Linked DNA regions of Solanum lycopersicum. The protein of the gene in region 1 interacts with the protein of each later gene in a pairwise test. Links are inferred from orthologs where the notes say so. Each region holds a gene or a part of one and is shown on either strand. Other genes may lie near its edges. The genes, in order: eukaryotic translation initiation factor 3 subunit E and COP9 signalosome complex subunit 7.

The links.
Region 2: the proteins of eukaryotic translation initiation factor 3 subunit E (region 1) and COP9 signalosome complex subunit 7 interact in binary tests that used the Arabidopsis thaliana proteins (3 or more experiments, as listed by UniProt). The link is inferred for Solanum lycopersicum from reciprocal best matches to the Arabidopsis thaliana genes EIF3E and FUS5.

The regions. Positions count from the first base shown.
Region 1 is NC_090809.1:60,502,350-60,512,059, reverse strand, and holds eukaryotic translation initiation factor 3 subunit E, read left to right. Parts: upstream 1-3,436; 5' UTR 3,437-3,586; coding exon 3,587-3,797; intron 3,798-4,849; coding exon 4,850-5,004; intron 5,005-5,175; coding exon 5,176-5,403; intron 5,404-5,534; coding exon 5,535-5,656; intron 5,657-6,114; coding exon 6,115-6,334; intron 6,335-6,652; coding exon 6,653-6,795; intron 6,796-6,977; coding exon 6,978-7,115; intron 7,116-7,208; coding exon 7,209-7,308; 3' UTR 7,309-7,545; downstream 7,546-9,710. Other genes in the region: calcium-binding protein CBP, read left to right, coding at 1-111, 1,435-1,481, 1,597-1,772, 1,879-1,897, 1,997-2,101; CKX7 (cytokinin oxidase/dehydrogenase-like 7 precursor), read right to left, coding at 7,985-8,312, 8,406-8,668, 8,760-9,020, 9,473-9,600. UniProt on the Arabidopsis thaliana protein: Component of the eukaryotic translation initiation factor 3 (eIF-3) complex, which is involved in protein synthesis of a specialized repertoire of mRNAs and, together with other initiation factors, stimulates binding of mRNA and methionyl-tRNAi to the 40S ribosome.
Region 2 is NC_090800.1:79,725,277-79,734,334, forward strand, and holds the end of COP9 signalosome complex subunit 7, read left to right. Parts: intron 1-386; coding exon 387-475; intron 476-1,209; coding exon 1,210-1,299; intron 1,300-1,636; coding exon 1,637-1,681; intron 1,682-1,766; coding exon 1,767-1,837; intron 1,838-4,729; coding exon 4,730-4,868; intron 4,869-4,946; exon of another isoform or gene 4,947-5,167; coding exon of another isoform or gene 5,168-5,187; coding exon 5,188-5,276; intron 5,277-5,696; coding exon 5,697-5,718; coding exon of another isoform or gene 5,719-5,723; 3' UTR 5,724-5,978; downstream 5,979-9,058. Other genes in the region: JRE1 (ethylene-responsive transcription factor 13), read left to right, coding at 8,269-8,877. UniProt on the Arabidopsis thaliana protein: Component of the COP9 signalosome complex (CSN), a complex involved in various cellular and developmental processes such as photomorphogenesis and auxin and jasmonate responses.

The DNA.
Region 1 (9,710 bases):
TTGATGATAAGGAGCTGCAGAAGGCGCTTTCTTCGTATAATCAGAGCTTCAGCTTGAGGACTGTTCATCTGCTTATGTATCTCTTCACCAATACCAACACTAGAAAAATCGGTAATAATCTTAATTCCAAATAATTGAGCTCAAAATTCACTTATGAAATGTTTCAGTGTTTGCCATGTATTGTAGAAAATGATCAGATCGATGATGAATTTCGTGCTGAAAATGTTAGGTTGTGTACAATTATTAATAACAACATGCAGTATACAGTTGATTTGTGACTGAGGGTGGTTGAAAAAGGTCATTTGGAGTAATCTTTCGTAATAAAGAAGTAATCTTGATCAAGACTTTAGGGGTTGCTTGGTATGAGGGACGAAGGGTAACAGTTATGTGATTATTTTATCATGCATTTGCTTAGGAGTATTAGTCAGTCCCACAGATAAATATATGGTCGGATAACTAATCCAGTGGGATATCCGAGGCATACCTTATACCAAACAACCCCTTATGGTTGTATTGGTGGGTCATCCTTAAGTGTATGTTGGCCAGGATGATATGACTTAAACAGGCCTATAAGACTTTGATATGGCCATTGAAATTCCTGTATGAATTGTTCTTTATGTCCTCGTCCAGGATTAGGTGGAAGTTATTGAGTTTGTTGTTCCTTGAGTTGATGACTGTGTGGCCATTTTATGTATTCTGAATTGGCGATGTAATGAATCAACGTCATCAGGGAAGAAAGGTGTGAAAAGACCCTGTTGGTCCATCAATGGGGGAATGTAGGGTGGGATTTCCATATAAAAAGAGAAATAACATTTTCTTAGCATGGAGATCTTACATAATGCAGATTGGACGTTCCTACTACTTATGGAAGTGGTGTTCTCAATTGAGCAATATCTAGCTTAATTTAACACTGTCTTGCACTATTAGTTCTCTTTGGAAGGAACAGAAGCAAGTCTTTGACAATGTGGTGATAGCGGCCGAACTTCCGTTTAGACTTCTCTCTTTTTTCCCCTCTCTTCCTTTCTCCTTCCTTTTTTGAAGTTAGAATCTCTTTAGACCATGTGTTGAGCCATTAGGGTGGCAAAACAACTACCTACATAAGATGCAACTTTGTATATTGATAATTCTACGCAGAAACTTTAGTTTTAGCATCTAGTAGTAAATGATTGTGTGCTAACATGTTCGCCAGACTTCCTTTTTGCTCTATGTTTTTTCAAGTGGAAAGATGAATGCAGAACTATTCCCTTTTTGTTCTATATATTTTTCATTCCAAATGTTATTGGTTTTTGAAGTTGATCAAGAGTATGGTTTAATGATGTTGATCGAATTTGAGTTGGAGATATACCTTAACGAAGCTTTGTTCTTTCAATGAGCCTATAGATCTTTCCCTCTTTCTTTTTCTGCCTGTTGATCTATTTTCTGCCCTGTAAGCAGGTCCCAAAGAATTCACTTCAGTGTTCTACAGTCTCCAAGAATGGAGGGTAAGTTAAAGAATCTTTTACGGTTAGCTTTGCACTTCTTTGTGTTTTCCGTTTTGCTTGGGAAAACAAATCTCCCTTTCTATGGAAGTTGATTGGAACTTCCTGTGTAATGCAGGGAATTTTCGAGAGATTTGATAGGGATAGGAGTGGAAAAATTGATTCATCTGAATTGAGGGACGCGTTACTTAGCCTGGGATATGCTGTATCACCTTCTATCCTGGAATTGCTGGTCTCCAAGTTTGATAAAACTGGTGGAAAGAGTAGAGCCATTGAATATGATAACTTCATTGAGTATGTTTCTGCATCAATGCAAATCTTTCTTCGTATATATCTTCTATTTTGTTCTATGCTTTGCTAACTTTGCCTTTTGTTCTTCCGTTTTATTTGCTTGATTCAGGTGCTGCCTCACCGTTAAAGTAAGCTTACAGTAACTTCGTATATTCTGGCATTCGTGTACCATTCCATTTTATCCAGCTAGGTGTTTTTTCTCACATACGCTCTCATTTCTTTTGCAGGGGCTAACTGAGAAGTTCAAGGAGAAGGATACTTCATATTCTGGCTCTGCTACGTTCACTTATGAGTCGTTCATGCTAACAGTTTTGCCTTTCCTGATTGCTTAGAGACGAGGCATATGAATTTCACAATTACGGGTGGTCTTACTATGATTTACCAGCTTCGTTTTCGTTTGTTTTCAGTAGAGAGATGTTTGCTTCTGTTAGTTTTTGTAAACAGTTTCCAGGGTGAAGTTGAATTACTTGCTTGTAGAAGTCTAGTGTGTTGTAGAGCAGTTAATGGGCTATCAAAACTAAATCCTTTGTGTTTCTTTTGATGTGTTTACTATTCGATCATGACTACTTTAAAGAGTATTTGGTTCGGCTTATTTTAGAAAATAAAATATAAACAAATCTATTTCAAGGAGCCCAAAAGTCTACTTTTATCTTTATTTTAAGGTTAATAAAGGGTTGTGCTTTATTCATATGGAGTTTATTTGGTATTGAATTACAAGACTTTTCAGAATAATGTAGCCCTATGAATTAAAAACAAGAACGACAAGAATGATAATACTATTAGACCTCTTATCAAATTTATGCATAGTGATCTTTAATGAAAATAATTTTTAGCGGGATAAAATATTGACATTAATAAAGAGTGTTAAAGTCACATGGGCATTAGATAAGTGTCATTAAAATTAATATCGTTAAAGACTTTAGGAACATATAACGATCATTAGTTGGAATATGCTCTGGTGTTTTTTTTAGCCATATTTTGCCACTTTGGTAATAAAATGCATTCAGTTGCCCAAAAAAATAATTTAAGATAAGTTGTTTATTCTTTTTACTATAGCATGTGAATATATGGAACTCATCTTTATTTTAAAACTACTCCTAGGAGTAGTATATAGAGTTCAAAAAATGATAATCGAATATTATAAAATTAACATATTCGAGTGAAATTGTTTTGATGAAGCACGTTCACAGGGTCAAACAAAGATGGTGATAGTTAGTAATGATAATCGTGAAGTGATGACTATAAGTGATTGATTATAATTGTTAAAAATGAAGGTAATAATTGACGATATTAGTAAAAAAATGACGTATATTGTTATTGAAGATGGTTAGTGACATAGTATAATAAATAATGGTTGAAGGAGGTTGCAATTAGAGATACTAAGATTATTCGATAGTAGAAATAATTTGATGGTCATCGTTCGATAGTGGATCGATTATAAAAATTAATAATTATTGATAATAGTTAGCGTAATATTTAACAATATTATTATGATAATACTTTTACCTTATTGTTTTTAGAAATCAACACTTTTGGATTTTTTTAAAAATTCAATCAAACAAATTATTTTCTATCGTAAAAATCAAAACCAAAACAAAAAAAAAAGAAAAAGAAAAAGTAGTTGTATTGAAGATGGGGTTAAAGGTAACAATATTTAAAACCCAAGGGGGAGTTTCAACATTATTTATTCCTTACAGCAAAAAAGACGAAACCCTAGAAATCTTTCTTCTACCGATCCACTTCTCATCTTTTCAGTTTCTCTGGTTCTGCACGGCGGCGAGTTTTGTGGTTGCTATCTCTTACCGACAGTAGCAATCATGGCGTCGAAGTACGATTTGACGCCACGTGTAGCGCAGCAATTGGACATTCACTTGATTTTCCCGTTACTGGAGTTTTTGCAAGAGCAGGGATTATACCCAGATGAATATATACTCAAGGCGAAGATTGAGCTGCTTAATCACACTAACATGGTTGATTATGCTATGGATATTCATAAGTCTCTCTATCATACTGACGATGTGCCTCAAGGTATCATTTAATTTTTTCGCTTCGTGTTTCCAATTGATTTTTTTGTTTATTAATCTTAATACTTGTGCTTTTTTTTTTTAGCAAAAGGGGTTTTTTTTTGGGGGGGTGGGGTTGTGAATTTTATGGATATTGTTTATACAAGTTGTCTATGTGCTGTTCCTCAAGGTTATCTCTTTCCCCCCTTTGTAGTAGTGAATACGCATTGATTTGTGTGTTGTGTGGGGTGGGGTTGTACGTCAAGGTTTCTCTTTCTTTCCCTTTGGTATGAATGCCCGTTGATTTGTGCCCTTACTGATCGAAATACCTTGTGCCCTTTTCAGCATGAAGGTTTTCGTGTGTGGTGTGGGGTTGTTAGTTTTAATGGATATGGTCTCTATAGAAGTTGTAGAAGTTGTCCTTCAGGTGTCTCCTGTTTCCCTTCATATTGGTGTATGTTTACATATTGGTCCACGTATTGGTGAATGCTTATTTATTTGTTGCTTCACTTAATGCTTTTGCACTTTTAACAAAAGGTGTTCTTTTTTGGGGTGGTGATATGGTGGTAGTTGTAATTTTGATGGTTCTGGTCTGTAGAAGTTGTTTAAAATTTATTCGAAGGGGATAATCTGTATAGTTGATGTATAAGAGTAAAAAAATCTGGTGACTTAGCAGTGCCCTTTTTAGCATAGAAGTTGTTTTCTTGTGGGGGTATTGTAATTCTGTTGGGGCAGTCTCCGTAGGTTTTCTTTGGAGTTGTCCCTTGAGGAATCTGTATAGTTGTGATCAGATAGAGATTTGATATGGGAGGCAATTTTGACGTTGTTGTCTGGATTTTCTGTTTGAGCTTTACAGTAAATGCATGCAATGTATGTAGATTAAAACCTTCTTGGTGTACTTAGATAAGATAAACTGTTGGTACACATACGTGTCGGTACAGAGTCTAACCATTTGCGACTTGCCCTCAGGGATTCCTCTGTTATTAAAAAAGTTTAGTTTGAGCAGAAGTGATTTTGGGAGTTCCTTTACATGTTTAAATTCTGCACTGTCTTTATAATTGCCGTTTGATTGTTCAGAAATGATGGAGAGGAGAGCCGAGGTTGTGGCAAGGTTGAAAGCACTTGAGGAAGCTGCAGCCCCATTGATCACTTTTTTGCAGAATTCCAGTGCTGTGCAGGAGTTGAGAGCTGACAAACAGCACAATCTTCAGTTGCTCCAGGAGCGGTACCAGGTGCATAGATCTAGTTTGATTTACATGATATAGAGTTCCTTCTTCTTTAGTACTTAATGTTGTATAATTAATAATATACTTGTTAAAGGGATCACAAACAGAAGTTGGTCTCTAGCTAATTTTGTGAATATACATTTTTTATTTTAGTAATGCTCTTACAAACCTGTCCAGATTGGTCCGGACCAGATAGAGGCATTGTATCAATATGCCAAATTTCAGTTTGAATGTGGAAACTATTCTGGTGCTGCTGATTATCTTTACCAGTACCGAGCATTGTGCACAAACAGTGACAGGAGCGTCAGTGCATTGTGGGGAAAGCTTGCAGCGGAGATACTAATGCAGAATTGGGATATTGCACTCGAGGAACTCAACCGCTTGAAAGAAATTATCGACTCAAAGGTAATATTTTGCATATATTGAGTCAACAATCTGTCTGTTTGAGTTAGTCTTACCAAGTTGAGTATCCTGTAGGAAAAAACTGAATGATCCTCAGTTTACCAAGTGTACTAAAAGTGTCGCTTGTCTTGCAGAGTTTCTCTACTCCGTTGAATCAAGTTCAGAATAGAATATGGCTAATGCATTGGAGTCTATTCATCTTCTTCAACCATGACAATGGCAGGACACTGATCATTGACCTGTTTAACCAGGACAAGTATGCCAACTGTACTTTAGTTGCTATTGCTTATAGATGATTGTTTTCATTTGCTGCTTCATTTTAGATTTCCCCATCCTGTTTGAGCTAGGCATTTTTTCTGATACTATCACCTACCGAGTATGATGTAGAGAAATATTTTAGGAAGCTCCGATTACCTAGTTCTTTCCCTTAGTGGGAAAATGGAGAAAACTAGATGAATTAGAATGAAACATGATCTGGAGGGTCAGGAACACACTGTATTTCTTATTTGCATACAGCAGAATTATGTTTGAAATATAGTTTTCTTATTCCAAAATGTTTGAAATAAATATTGCTCTTCTTTTGTGGTAACATACATTAAGACAGTATTCTTCTTGATATGTCTCGATTAAAGTAGCTGTTATTTTTCCTTTTGTTGGTATTCTATGGATTTACATCTTCCCTTTGAGCTTTTCTAAATCATTGAAGTCTTGCAGATACTTGAATGCCATTCAAACAAGTGCTCCCCACTTGCTGCGGTACTTGGCTATTGCATTTATTGTCAACAAAAGAAGAAGACCTCAATTTAAGGACTTTATAAAGGTTATTCAGCAGGAGCAACACTCTTGTAAAGATCCCATCACAGAGTTTTTGGCATGTATTTACGTCGACTATGATTTTGATGGGGCACAGGAGAAGATGAAGGAGTGCGAAGAGGTAAGCTTTTGTGCGTAGCTTATCCGCTTTGATGCATGGTCACATCATAGTTGTATGATTCATTTCTTGCATATCAGAAGTAGAAACTGAACTTTTCTTTAAATAAGTTGTAATTGACTTTAAGATGATATGATATATGAAGTGAAGATTGTATTTTGGAAGTATAAGCGCAGGACTCTTTGCAAATATATGCAAGTTTTGTAGACTTTGGACATGCTAGTTTCTGATACTCGAAGCCAAGTATCTTTAGTATAGCCACTGAGCTCTTCCCGTCAGTGCAGCTCTTTTTACTCATTTTAACATGGAGGCTATATGCAGCTAATATTGAATGACCCATTCCTTGGAAAAAGAGCTGAAGAGGGCAGTTTCTCCTCTGTGCCATTGAGAGATGAATTCCTTGAAAATGCTCGTCTTTTTATCTCTGAGACCTACTGCCGCATTCACCAACGCATTGACATGGGGTATGTAGCTAATTCTTCAAAGTTACTTTCTAAATCTATTTTGGGGTTCCTTCCCACTCCCCTTGCCCATAGTTTTTTGTAATATTAGGTATACCCCTTTTGTTTGTTACCTGTTGAGAGGGCTTAAGAAAGCAGAGTTGTGCCCATTTAATAACCATTTTCTTTCATTTCATAAATGTCAGGGTTCTAGCTGAGAAGCTTAACTTGAACCTTGAGGAGGCAGAGCGATGGATGGTGAATCTTATCAGGACCTCAAAGCTTGATGCCAAGATAGACACTGAAACCGGGACAGTTACAATGGAACCAAATCAGCCTAATGTGTAAGTTTATATACAGATGTACCTTATCGAAATGTTCAATGCGTTGACCCATTTTAGCATACACCTGATGTTTATGAGCATTGTCATGTTCAGGTACGAGCAGCTCATCGATCACACCAAGCCCCTTTCTGGACGCACGTACAAATTAGTCAGTCAGCTTCTTGAACATGCACAAACACAACTTGCTAGATAGTTTGGTTGAGGACATTAAGCTCGTGCCAATTTTGCATTGCTCCCGTACCTGATTAACACCTTTATATTCAAGAATGTTGCTTATGTTAATTCCTGGATTTCCCTTGGAGGAAATTTTGAGATACATGATGAATTATACATTAGTTTCTTTTTTATCTTGTGTTGTCTCCATTGGAAGTGGTATGCCTTTGCATTTTAGTACTCGTTTTTGCCATGAAAAAATTTGTTTTAGCTGGAATTTGCCAGGGCATTTTGTTTCATATGATGCTTTACTCTTCGCTCGTGATCACTTAGAGCCCTCTGTTCATCAATAGGTACATAATAAATCTAGTGTCCATTACAAGGCGATGTCAATGCATTATTTTTGGTTAAATATTTTGGAAAATCAATTCATCTATAGATGACAAATTCAAAAAATGAAGTTTATAAGTGACGTTTCATATTTATCGTCTTCCTACCCTCCAATACATCTCATCTTCAAGTTGGATAGCATTTATATGATACGATTTGCTCGTCTACCGGGATAGGGGAAAGGAAAATGTACAATTGTTTATCGAAATTCTTCACCTAATAACCAGATTTTCATAACATATAGGGATGACAATGGGATGTGATGGAACTTAAAACCTCAAAAATTTTTAACCCGCCCCGTCCCACTCAAGAATGTACATTTGTGATCATTCATGTTCACAGTCTGCCGTCCTTCTGAAAATCCTCTGTCCTGGAGCAAGTATAGCCAAAGGGTCATATGTAGATTTCCTCCTAGCAAATGTATCCCAATGAGGACCAAAATGATGCTTCCACTCTTCCTGAGTCTTGTGATTTGGCAAATATTGTTTCATTCCAATACGCGTTTTTTCACAAAAACTCAGTATTCTGTTGTTTTGATCTATGATGTGTTCTAGTCCATCTTTTCCTGTTGAAAAAGGCATAGCAGATGACAGGAACGCGATGAGGTAGAAAACATCTTCATCAGGTGTAACCATTGATGTTCCTTTTCTCCACCTGAAACATAGATCATTCAAGATATATATAACTGTTAGGAAAACGCGTATCATTAAGAGATTTGTAAGTTGTGAAGAATCAAGAATGTAGTACTTTGATTTGTTGACAGGGTAGATGAGTAGAGGACCATTGCTTGTATCAGTAAGAATCTTTCCGAAAACTTCTTGAGCAAATTCAAGAATCCTGCTTTTTGGTATTAGAAGATTTAGCCATGGATGAGGAACATCCCATAACCCCTTCTCTTGTAGCTTCATCTCGGAGACATGAACTCTATCGAGGAACTCAACGTAGGAGACTTCTGATAGAAACAACGTTGATCGGATATAACTCAACTTTGATAAGAGTATATCAATGTCCTGTAGTAATTATTTAGGAAACAAGGTCAATATTTTACTGGAGTTATCCGAAACCTGGAAAAGTTAACTGATTTTGATGTGTTTTTTTTACCTGATCAGTACTATATGTGTCCTCTGGATTGAAGTATTTCGCAACTTCTAAACAGAATAAAACTCTGCCTTCTGAACTAAAATTACTAGCTTGAAGTGGATCTTTAGGATTGAAAGTAGACCTCCAGTTATTCAATAATCCAGTGCTGTTTATAATGACGAATCCTTCGATATAGTCAAATGTACTCTGAGATGATATCAAGTCCTCTTGATCATTCGAAAATGCAGCAAAATCTGAATACAATACTCTGATCCACTTGACCTGTCAAGTAAATAGTTACAGCAATGCTGAATGAGCTTGCTTTTCTTTTCATAGGGTCCTCAAAGTTGGCACCAGTTTTCATTTCGACACTTTAACTGAGGTTAGTACCTATCGAGCACTCACAACCTTAGATAAAGTCACAGAAAGGGATGAGGTTGGAGCGTTTGATAGGTAGTGAAATTAGTTGATATGTCAAAATGAAAACTGGAGCCAAATTCTATTGACGGTGCCTCAGAGTTGGCACCAGTTTTCATTTCGATTAAGGTCAGTACATAGTGAGCGCTCCAACCTCAGAAAGTTAGAAGAAGGTTGAGGTTGGAGTGTTCGATAGGTACTGGCCTTAGTTGAAGGCGTTGAAATGAAAACTGGAGCCAACTTTGGCGAATCGTCTATATATGTATTTTTGGCCTAAAGTAATGTTACTTCTTTGGGTTTTAGAGTTCAATGTCTACCTGCTTTGGTGCTGTTTCAAGAGCAATTCTTGCCTTAGTTATAATACCAAACTGCCCTAATCCTCCTAGTACACCATGGAACAAGTCTGCATTCTGCTCCTCTGAACAAGTAATCACCTCTCCTTTACCTACAACAAGATAGATATCAAAGGTGACAAGCAACGACCAATCCTGAAAGACGCATTTTTTTCGTCTTAGGATGTCTAACCGTTCACCAATCATACGGGGGGAGGCAGGA
Region 2 (9,058 bases), on another chromosome or scaffold:
TATCATGGGTGAGTTGCTTTGTAACATCCTTAAGTTTGCTAGTGCTCACTGTCACTTACCACTTACCTTTTTGGAAAAAGATTTAGTGTTGGTGTTAAAACTTCCACTAGAAAGAGGGACTGTTTATTTCTCTTACACATGTACTCTTTCTCAGGCAAAAACAGAGACAGTTGCAGGTTTGATTTCCTTTTTGTTTTTCCTAGTACCAAAGTGATGAAATTTCATTGACAATAATTGCTTAAAATACAGATTAGGGAAAATATCTTACTCTAATTGACCATATCTATGACTAAATATAGTTGTTTTATAAAGGAAGATGACGTACTCCTGAGTTCTATATGTAGCATTTCAAATTTGTCAATTTTAGCATGTGCGTTTTATTCTAGGTATTGCTGGCTGTCTTCCTCAGTTGGCGTCTGCCCAAGCTCTCAAGTTGAAGCAACTTACTGTGCTTACACTAGCTGATACAAGCAAGGTACACTACATATAAGTGGAATAAGCCTTTTGACATTGTAATTTATCTTATGGCAAAAGTGAGCAATTGATGCATCCTTAGTAACTTTGTCCCTTCAGCTAGTTAATGCCAAAAATGTAAGAGGCTTGGCTGAGCTTTGTGGTGCTTGTTTGTTGGAATTCTTGAATCTGGTCTGGGTAATGGATACAATCTATTAATTGGTACATGTAATTTATTGTCATTGGATCAGATCAGTACTATTAAAGTTGTTTGCTTAGCCTCCCTTACTTCTGAATGTGTTCAGTGTTGTTTCCTTCATTTTGTTGTGGAACATGCGAGTGTAGTCATCCCACTATGATAAAGTATTCCATTTGGTGATAACTCTAATAATGCTATTCAAGTAAATACTGGATACCTCACTTGTGGGATTACTTTGGGTATGCTGTTTTAAGTAAGTACCGGATACTTTGTTTTATGCTTACCTTGTTCAGTGTCAACAACTCCGTCTATCGTGCTATCTGTGAGATGTTTTCCGGTGATTTGCATGATTATCATATCTCTCAAGTTCATTTCTCATAATGGAAAAGAACAAAATATATTTATGTTTTTCAGTTTTTAACATTCTTTTGTGTTTCTTCATGACAACCCTTTTCATATATCAACAACCTTTGATAATGATGTTGATATTCACTTCTTTCACTGATGTCCTTTGTTATTAGAGTCACTGCCAGTAATGACTCCTTTCCTCTTTCCAGGAGCTTCCATATGATCAACTTATGCAGGAGTTGGATGTCACAAATGTGCGTGAACTTGAAGATTTTCTCATAAATGAGTGCATGTATGTGGTGAGTATTAGCTCTCACTCCTTGTATCATTGTGTGATGAATAGAGATACTTTGTACTTTCCAATATTGGAAGTATGTCGGACTTAAGTTTATTGTAGGAATTTGCTTCTATTGATGTTCTTATGATAGTTTATTTAGCCTTCTGGATAGAAATTCAACTTATTTTTTAAATTGGGTTCTGGTGCCTCATAGGTTATTGGTGGCTTACTTTGCCTTTTCCTTCCCTTCCTTTATTCACTTTCTCTTTGGGTTGGGGGTTGGGATAATAACTGATTTGATGTCTCAATCTGCTATTAAAAGAATTAATAATTCCCCATTTTTATGCATCCGTTGACAGGGCATAGTTAGAGGAAAGCTGGATCAGTTGAAAAGATGCTTTGAGGTTGGTATGGTGTGTTTGCTGTTTCGCCAACTCTTGGTTGCAGCGTGCTGACATGGGGTAATTAACTGTCTCCGCACAATTATAGGTACAATTTGCTGCAGGGAGAGATCTCAGACCCGGTCAATTGGGGAATATGCTACAGACATTAACTGACTGGTATATCTATGTTCTTGTTTAGATGACTCTGATAGCCATATCATTATATCATGCCCTATTATCTCTGTCTGAGTATTATTTAGTTGTTTCTTAGTTGGGCTTGGGGTTGTGTATTGACTTTACGATAGGATCTTTCTATTGATATTCTGTTGTCCTATTTATATGACAAACATCTTCTGTTCTTGAAGAGTTGTTGAGTTCTCTTTTCTTCCCTTTCGTGTCTTGATCTCGTTACCTTCATAATGACTTACTGAGCTGTAGTTCGTATGCCAGTTTCTAAGATTTTTTTTATATCCGCCTTAAACAAAACAGCTAGTTGAGGTTATAGAAGTGATATGAGTTGCATAATCTGCTTATGGGGTCTGACCAATTTCTTCAGTAATGTATAACGTTGGATTAGACCATGGTGAAGAGCAGCTCTTATGATTGTGATGTTAATACCTTTGAGCTGAGGCTGCCGACACAAAGATGACTGAATTGGATATTGATCGTAAGCTGAAAAATAAGGACTTCGCTTCTGGTGGAAACATATCTTTGTAATTTCAATTTGAATTCTCACTTACCAAAAAGTTTCAAGTGAAGTCTTTAAAAATTTTCAAAGCAGGACACATAAAGAACAGGATGCTCTGCCTTAAAAAAAAATCAACACTGGGTTTACCCATCACAACTACCAAAAAAAGAAGCAATAAACTCTTAAAACTAGATCGGATAGCGAATCAAAAGCTATGGAATTTTTAGTGGACGGACTGAGAAAATAGTTATTATTGAAAAAGTTGAGCTCAGTCACCTTATCTTTTTCATTTTTTTAATCCTAAAGGGGAAGTACCTTTCCTTTTGGAGGTAGGAAAATCAATGATCGGATAGCGAACCAAAAAAGCTATGGAACTTGGACGTGGGTCTTTTGAATCTTCATTTTTTTTTCTTTTTAAGAAAATCAAGTGCAGCCATTTCAGTTTGGTTGTAAGATCTGCCATTGTTGTTGGCCTACAATATTGATGATCAGATGGCATATTATTCTGATTTAGTTGCTGTTATTTGAAGTTGAGCACTACTGGCTAGAAACAATAAAATCTGTTAGGAGTAAGGGAAAGGAGATGTAGGTTTTGGTGTTCCCGGTGAGGCGCTTATAGAGTAAGTTAGTGGGTGGTTTTCTGTTCATATGGATAGGCAACGAGGGGCCTGGTAAGTCATGAGGGTCCATTGGAGGCTGTATTTAGTGTTGAAGTAGGTTTGATTAAGGAAGATGGGCGGAAAAACATGAAGTTAGGTTTGAAGAATGAGATTTAAAGAAAGAGTAAGTTTTCCTTTTAGTGCCATTGGTTGAAATGATGAAGGGAAGACAGGCAACATTGCGCATGCTGGCATGTGGCACAAGCTCAATGATGGATGTACCAAAGGGGAGGAGTAAAACATTGAGGCCTGCTGTCAAGATCTGAAACCTTGGGGGTTCTGGGAATTCTGCTTCTTGCTTGTTAAAGCTGAGAAGTGGAAAGTGAACAATTTGTCAAGTAAAGAGCCATCAGGCAACAGTAACAAATGCTTGTGTTTGTTGAAAAGGTCTAAAGAAAGCAGGATAGAATGAGGTTCTTGGGTAGTGGTGTTGCATTCATGGTTCTTTTATTTGAGCGCACTTTGAGATATTTAACTAGTTATTATTTGGTTGTATTATTTTGCATCTCCTCTTTGGATTTTTTTCTCTAAGTAAGTTGTGTTCATGTAGAGTTCTATTTTCTGATAAATTTATCGTATTTACCTGCCAAAGAGATTGTTGAGTGTGGATTGATGTTCGGATGTGTCCTTGTTGAGTCCTTGTGTCCATTGGATGATTTATTAGTCAATAAATTGGTTAAGTATGAAATTGTGTCGGGCATGTGTCGAAGTCATGTTCGGCGTGAAGTTGTGCTGAGACTGTTCACACAAACTTGCCTAGATGACGCATCTATGTTCACTAGTTTTGGAATATTGACTAGATTTAACCCATTATTAGTTGCCATTATATAGCACATCAGCATGTTATTCCTTGTCTATTCTGGTTTTAAGGAATTAAGGTTAGTATCCCGGGAGCCAATCCCGAGACCGATAAATGATTCAATCTAGGATCCCAATTTTGAGAATGTCATTATGCGAATGTTATTGAGATGCATGATTTCGTTTGAGCCACCTACACTTCCCCAAGTCGGTAGAAAATCTCACCATGCTGTGGGCTCCTAGGTCCACAGGATGGAAGAACTTATCGGAACACCTCTGTGGTATTTGCTAATTGATGCTGACTCAGAGGTCAGTGAAAAGGCTGCTTACTTGCCTTCTAGTTGTATGTTTTTATGAAGCTTCATTTAAGTTCTCTCTGGTATGGCATAAAAATCATCTATTTTTAGTGAACTTATCTACCTTGTTAAAAAATGAAAGAGAAATCATGTCAAGATGATCATTCATTTTGTTTGAGCTAATAATTGTCTTCCAGCCTTATTGTTGCCATTTTTACAACTGTTGATTATCCTAATCTATTTTTCAATTAGTAGTTCTACTTATTCTCTTATTGCAACTATGTGAACAACACAACTTTGGAAATGTAAATTTGGAACTTTTGTGGTGGAAATTATATGATAATTGTTTTTACTGAGTACAATCCCACACAACTTTCTATGCCATAAATCAAATGTAAATTGAATCTGCAGACTTGTGGTATAATGCCGAAGTTAGGTGAGGGATAAGATTAAAAGAGTTGGACGTTTTTGTGTATGCTGTGGTGTTACTCTGGTGTATGTGTTCCGTCTTACAATGAGAGGTCCTGGTGAAGTGTGAACTATGAATGTTCTGCATGCTATAACTATAAGATCTAACTGTAATTGTCAACCTACTCTCAAATTTATTTAATTTTTTGATAAAAAACAGGTTGACTACTTCAGACAATCTTCTTGTGTCAATTCAAGAGAAAATCAAATGGGCAGATACAATGAGTGAATCGGACAGGAAGCACCGGAAGGAAGTTGAAGAAAGGGTTGATGAGGTGAAGAAGTCACTCTCTTTGAAGGTGAGTACAGTATAGATTTTCAAGAGATGAGTTCTGTGTTGATTCTAAAAAGTAAAAACTATGGGCATAACTTGACAGTGCACCAGGCCATATTGAATGGCGAGCATGTCTTTCAGCTGATGGACTTGGTCTACCTGGGTTGTGAGATTCCTTTTTTGGGGTAGAATATCTTCGTAGTTTGCCCATTTGAGTCCTAATGACCCTCAGTTCGTGTTTAAGCTTTTTGTTATGTTGAAGACTCACTTTATATTTAAGTACTGGGATATTTTTGTCGATCTGTCTTACTTACTCTGTGGCAGAAGCTACAAACTGTAAGCAGGCCGACGTTGACTTCAGAGGGCATGAGGAGATCTACTCTGAATCTGGTGGAGTGATGGATTATGAGGAAGACCGAGGCCGACCGAAGAGGTAGTAGTAGTCTTATATATCCCGGGATTAAATTTTCCAGTCATTTAGCAGCTAGTCATGGTCTGTATATTGACCTATGAAATATATCACATTAAAAATCTGATAAGGGAAGAAAGATCCTATGATGCACAAGTGTGTGCTGTAGGGACTGCAGGGTCACTTCAATCCATTGCAAGAATGCTTCAAACCAAAAATATGAATTGGCGGAGACATGAAACCGCATCTATCCTTCCATGCCAGTTGAATGCTAGAAACCGTAGAAGTCTTTACTCTCTAATATCTTTACACTCCCGTGAATGTATTTTTACTCTTATTGGTAACTTGGACTGAGATTAAATTCTTTACACGGTTAGTGTGTATTTATATATTGTATAGATAGTCTCTCTCATCTGCTGATTTTTAACTTTGTAAAATTTGCAGGAGACGACACCCTATTGGTTAAGGTGATGGAGTTGGGGGCGATGTTAGGAAGAATTAGAGTGGCTGCTGGCCAGTTTTTTTTTTTTACCATAGATGCTTTCTGCTTTAGCAGACAGTTTCAACCCTTCTAAAAATTTGTCATGCTGTGAATGGAACTTGTAGACTCGAAGTACCCCATAGAGCCATATTTTGCACTTAACTCCATTATTTCCATCTTGTTTGCCTTTTTTGAGTTGGAAAGATTTTAATATGATGACGACGACGATGATGATGCGGCTGAAACTTGTGGAGCTGATTCATTTTACATTCATACAAGTCTATATGCTTTCATGATTTTTTTCCCCCAGGTTTTTGTTTTGAGTGATTGCTTTAAGGTACAGGTAATTTTCCATCTTCATAAGATAAAATTCATCATATGAGGTGATGAATTTTTCTGCTGAGATTGTGGGTAGTTAATTTACAATTAAATTGGTTATATTCTATAGTATATAATAAATATAATTAGGATTGCTTCTAGACTCAAAAAAGAAAAAGAAGAAAACCTTGGATAATTTCATCACGTTATATAATTATCTAGAATTTAGAATGCGCAATCAGAGAATTATACCTTATATTTCTAGAAGCTCCTCTAAATATGTCTGATATAAAGTTATTATTACCTTCCTGGAATATCAAGTTATGAATTTCAATGTCATTTTACGAAGATTTTTACCTTTTTAGCGTTGTGGATCTAAATATTCTGTACAGCTTTGGTTCGAATTTCTTTTTTTCGTAAAAAAAAATAACTATGATAAAAGTTTGTTTATTTATTAATAATATACTTTTCTTGGACTATGATGTCATATGTACGGACTAGGAAAATGGTGTTCCAAAATATTCCTTCTCATCTTGACTTTGATTATTTTTAACAACTCTCATTTACACGTTATTGGTAAATTATAAAATATTCCTATATTGTTGTTATATAGTTTTTGCTAATTTTAGTTGCAAAATTAGGATTTTTTTATTCTAACCTCGCTCGCTAATTTTAAATTTATCTTACTCTTTCTCCATATCTTCACATATTGGTGGATATAAATTCAAGAGAAAGAAATGCTACAATTAAGTTGCTTCAACAAGATTGTTGTTGGTATTAAAAATATCATTAGTTTCTCGATTCATTTTGGGGTCTAAAATAGTTTTTGAACTACTCATATATTTACTGGATTTAGACTTTCATAATTTTCTTTTCGTTAATTTTATTTTGAATTATTCAAGTTAAATTCTTATCTTAAAAAAAAAAAGGGGGAGGGGGGGGAGGTCAAACATGTCCCTAAACTATTCGAAAAGGTCTAGATATACTCTCTGTTTAAAGTTTGGCTCACTCATGCCCTCGTTGTTCAAATTTTCACCTAGATATGCCCTTGTGGACGTTAGTTGGTATGCTGGGCATATTCAGCTTATTTTTTATTTCTTTAAATGCCACATGGAATTGCAATGTCATTTTGACCTTACCACCAGCATACCAGCTAACGTCCACAAGGGCATATCTGAGCCAAAATTTGAACGGCGAGGACATGAGTGAGCCAAACTTTAAACGAAGTATATCTAAATCTTTTCGAATAATTTAGGGGCATATTTGACCCTTTTCCCCAAAAAAAAAGTATGTCTCCGATTAAAACAATAGGGACTAAAATTGAAATTAACACATAAAGTCAGGGACCAAATACGTTCTGTTTCTAGTTAAAACTAATGTTTTATAAATTATAGTATTTAGTTTGCGTTCAGATCATCACATGTTATAATTTGTAATCTTTTAATTTTTTAAAATTGACTTGTTCTATATTTATAAGTATATAAGACATACGTACTTGTATATTCGTTGGGATTATAGATTACAATTTATAAATACCACTAAAAAAAGTTGGCCATATCGAACATTTTTTTTTAAAAAAAGAAGGAATTAATAATATAAGCAACAGCTAACCAGAAAATAAAGTAATATTTCCTATCAAATGAGTAGATGTTTCATTTTCTTTTTTATAATCGTGATATCTGAATAAATTTACACAAATTTCAATTAAATTTACAAAATATTTATTATCTTTCACCTACAATATACATATTACATATCTGATACCTCATGATATTCAACTTGCTTCGTGGAAACTAAATTATACCTCGAACAAAAAAGTGTTGGTAATTTAATAGTACCTTATTGGACAAAACAAAATGATACCTCAGTGTCCATACCAAGAATAATACATAATTAAATCAACTTTTATATTATATATATAATATAAAGAGAAGAATAAAAAAAAGTTATTAAAATATAAAGACATGTTAAAAATAACTACTTTGATTGATGGGCTCGTTGCTTCCACGAAATTCTTATAAATAACACTCTTGATAATTTTAAAAAAGAAAATAAAAACATGTGTTGGATCACATAAATATTATTTTTAAATAAATAGTGGACAATATGGTTCCCTATATAATGAAAAAAAATTAATTTAAACTTCATCATTCATTCACACTCATCAGCTCAATACTTCTTTCAATTTTAACAAAATTTTCCTTAAAAATTCAAAAAATGTACCAACAAAAATCAACAACCATCTCAGATTCTGATCTTTCCGTACTTGAAAACATTAAATTCCATCTTGTTAATGATTCCGATTTTTCTCAAATCCTTTCGATGTTCGATCCGATCAATATTAGTCATGCAGATATTATTAATAGTCCGAATTCGAGTTACGGTAGCTCTACATCAGCAGCAGAGATTAGTTGGGGAGATATGATAACTAATATTGATAGTCCGTGGCAATGTATCGATAAATTGGAGCACGAAGAGGCACCAAAAGAGGAGCCTTTAGTGGCACGTGGTGTGCACGCGCCTGGTGATTGGAACCGGTATAGAGGCGTCAGGCGGCGGCCGTGGGGTAAGTTCGCGGCGGAGATAAGAGACCCCGATAGGAAAGGTGCTAGGCTTTGGCTAGGGACTTACGGGACACCTGAAGATGCAGCATTGGCTTATGACCAAGCCGCTTATAAGATTCGTGGCTCTAAGGCTCGATTGAATTTTCCTCATTTAATCGGCTCGGACATATCTGAGCCAGTTAGAGTGGCTCCGCGTAAGCGTTGCCACTCGTCACAGTCATCATTGGTAGAATATACCTCTTCAAAGAAGAGAAAATTATAAATTAGCTAAAAATTAAATTAGAGGCAAAAATTGTATTAGTACTAATTGTCTTGCATTTGTTAAATATGGTGCCTACGCGTGTATTCTCATCAATAATATTATATTCAGTAAAAATTTATAAGTGAAGTTTGAAAAGGATAGAATATAGATAAACCTAATCATCATATCTAGTAAATGTAAA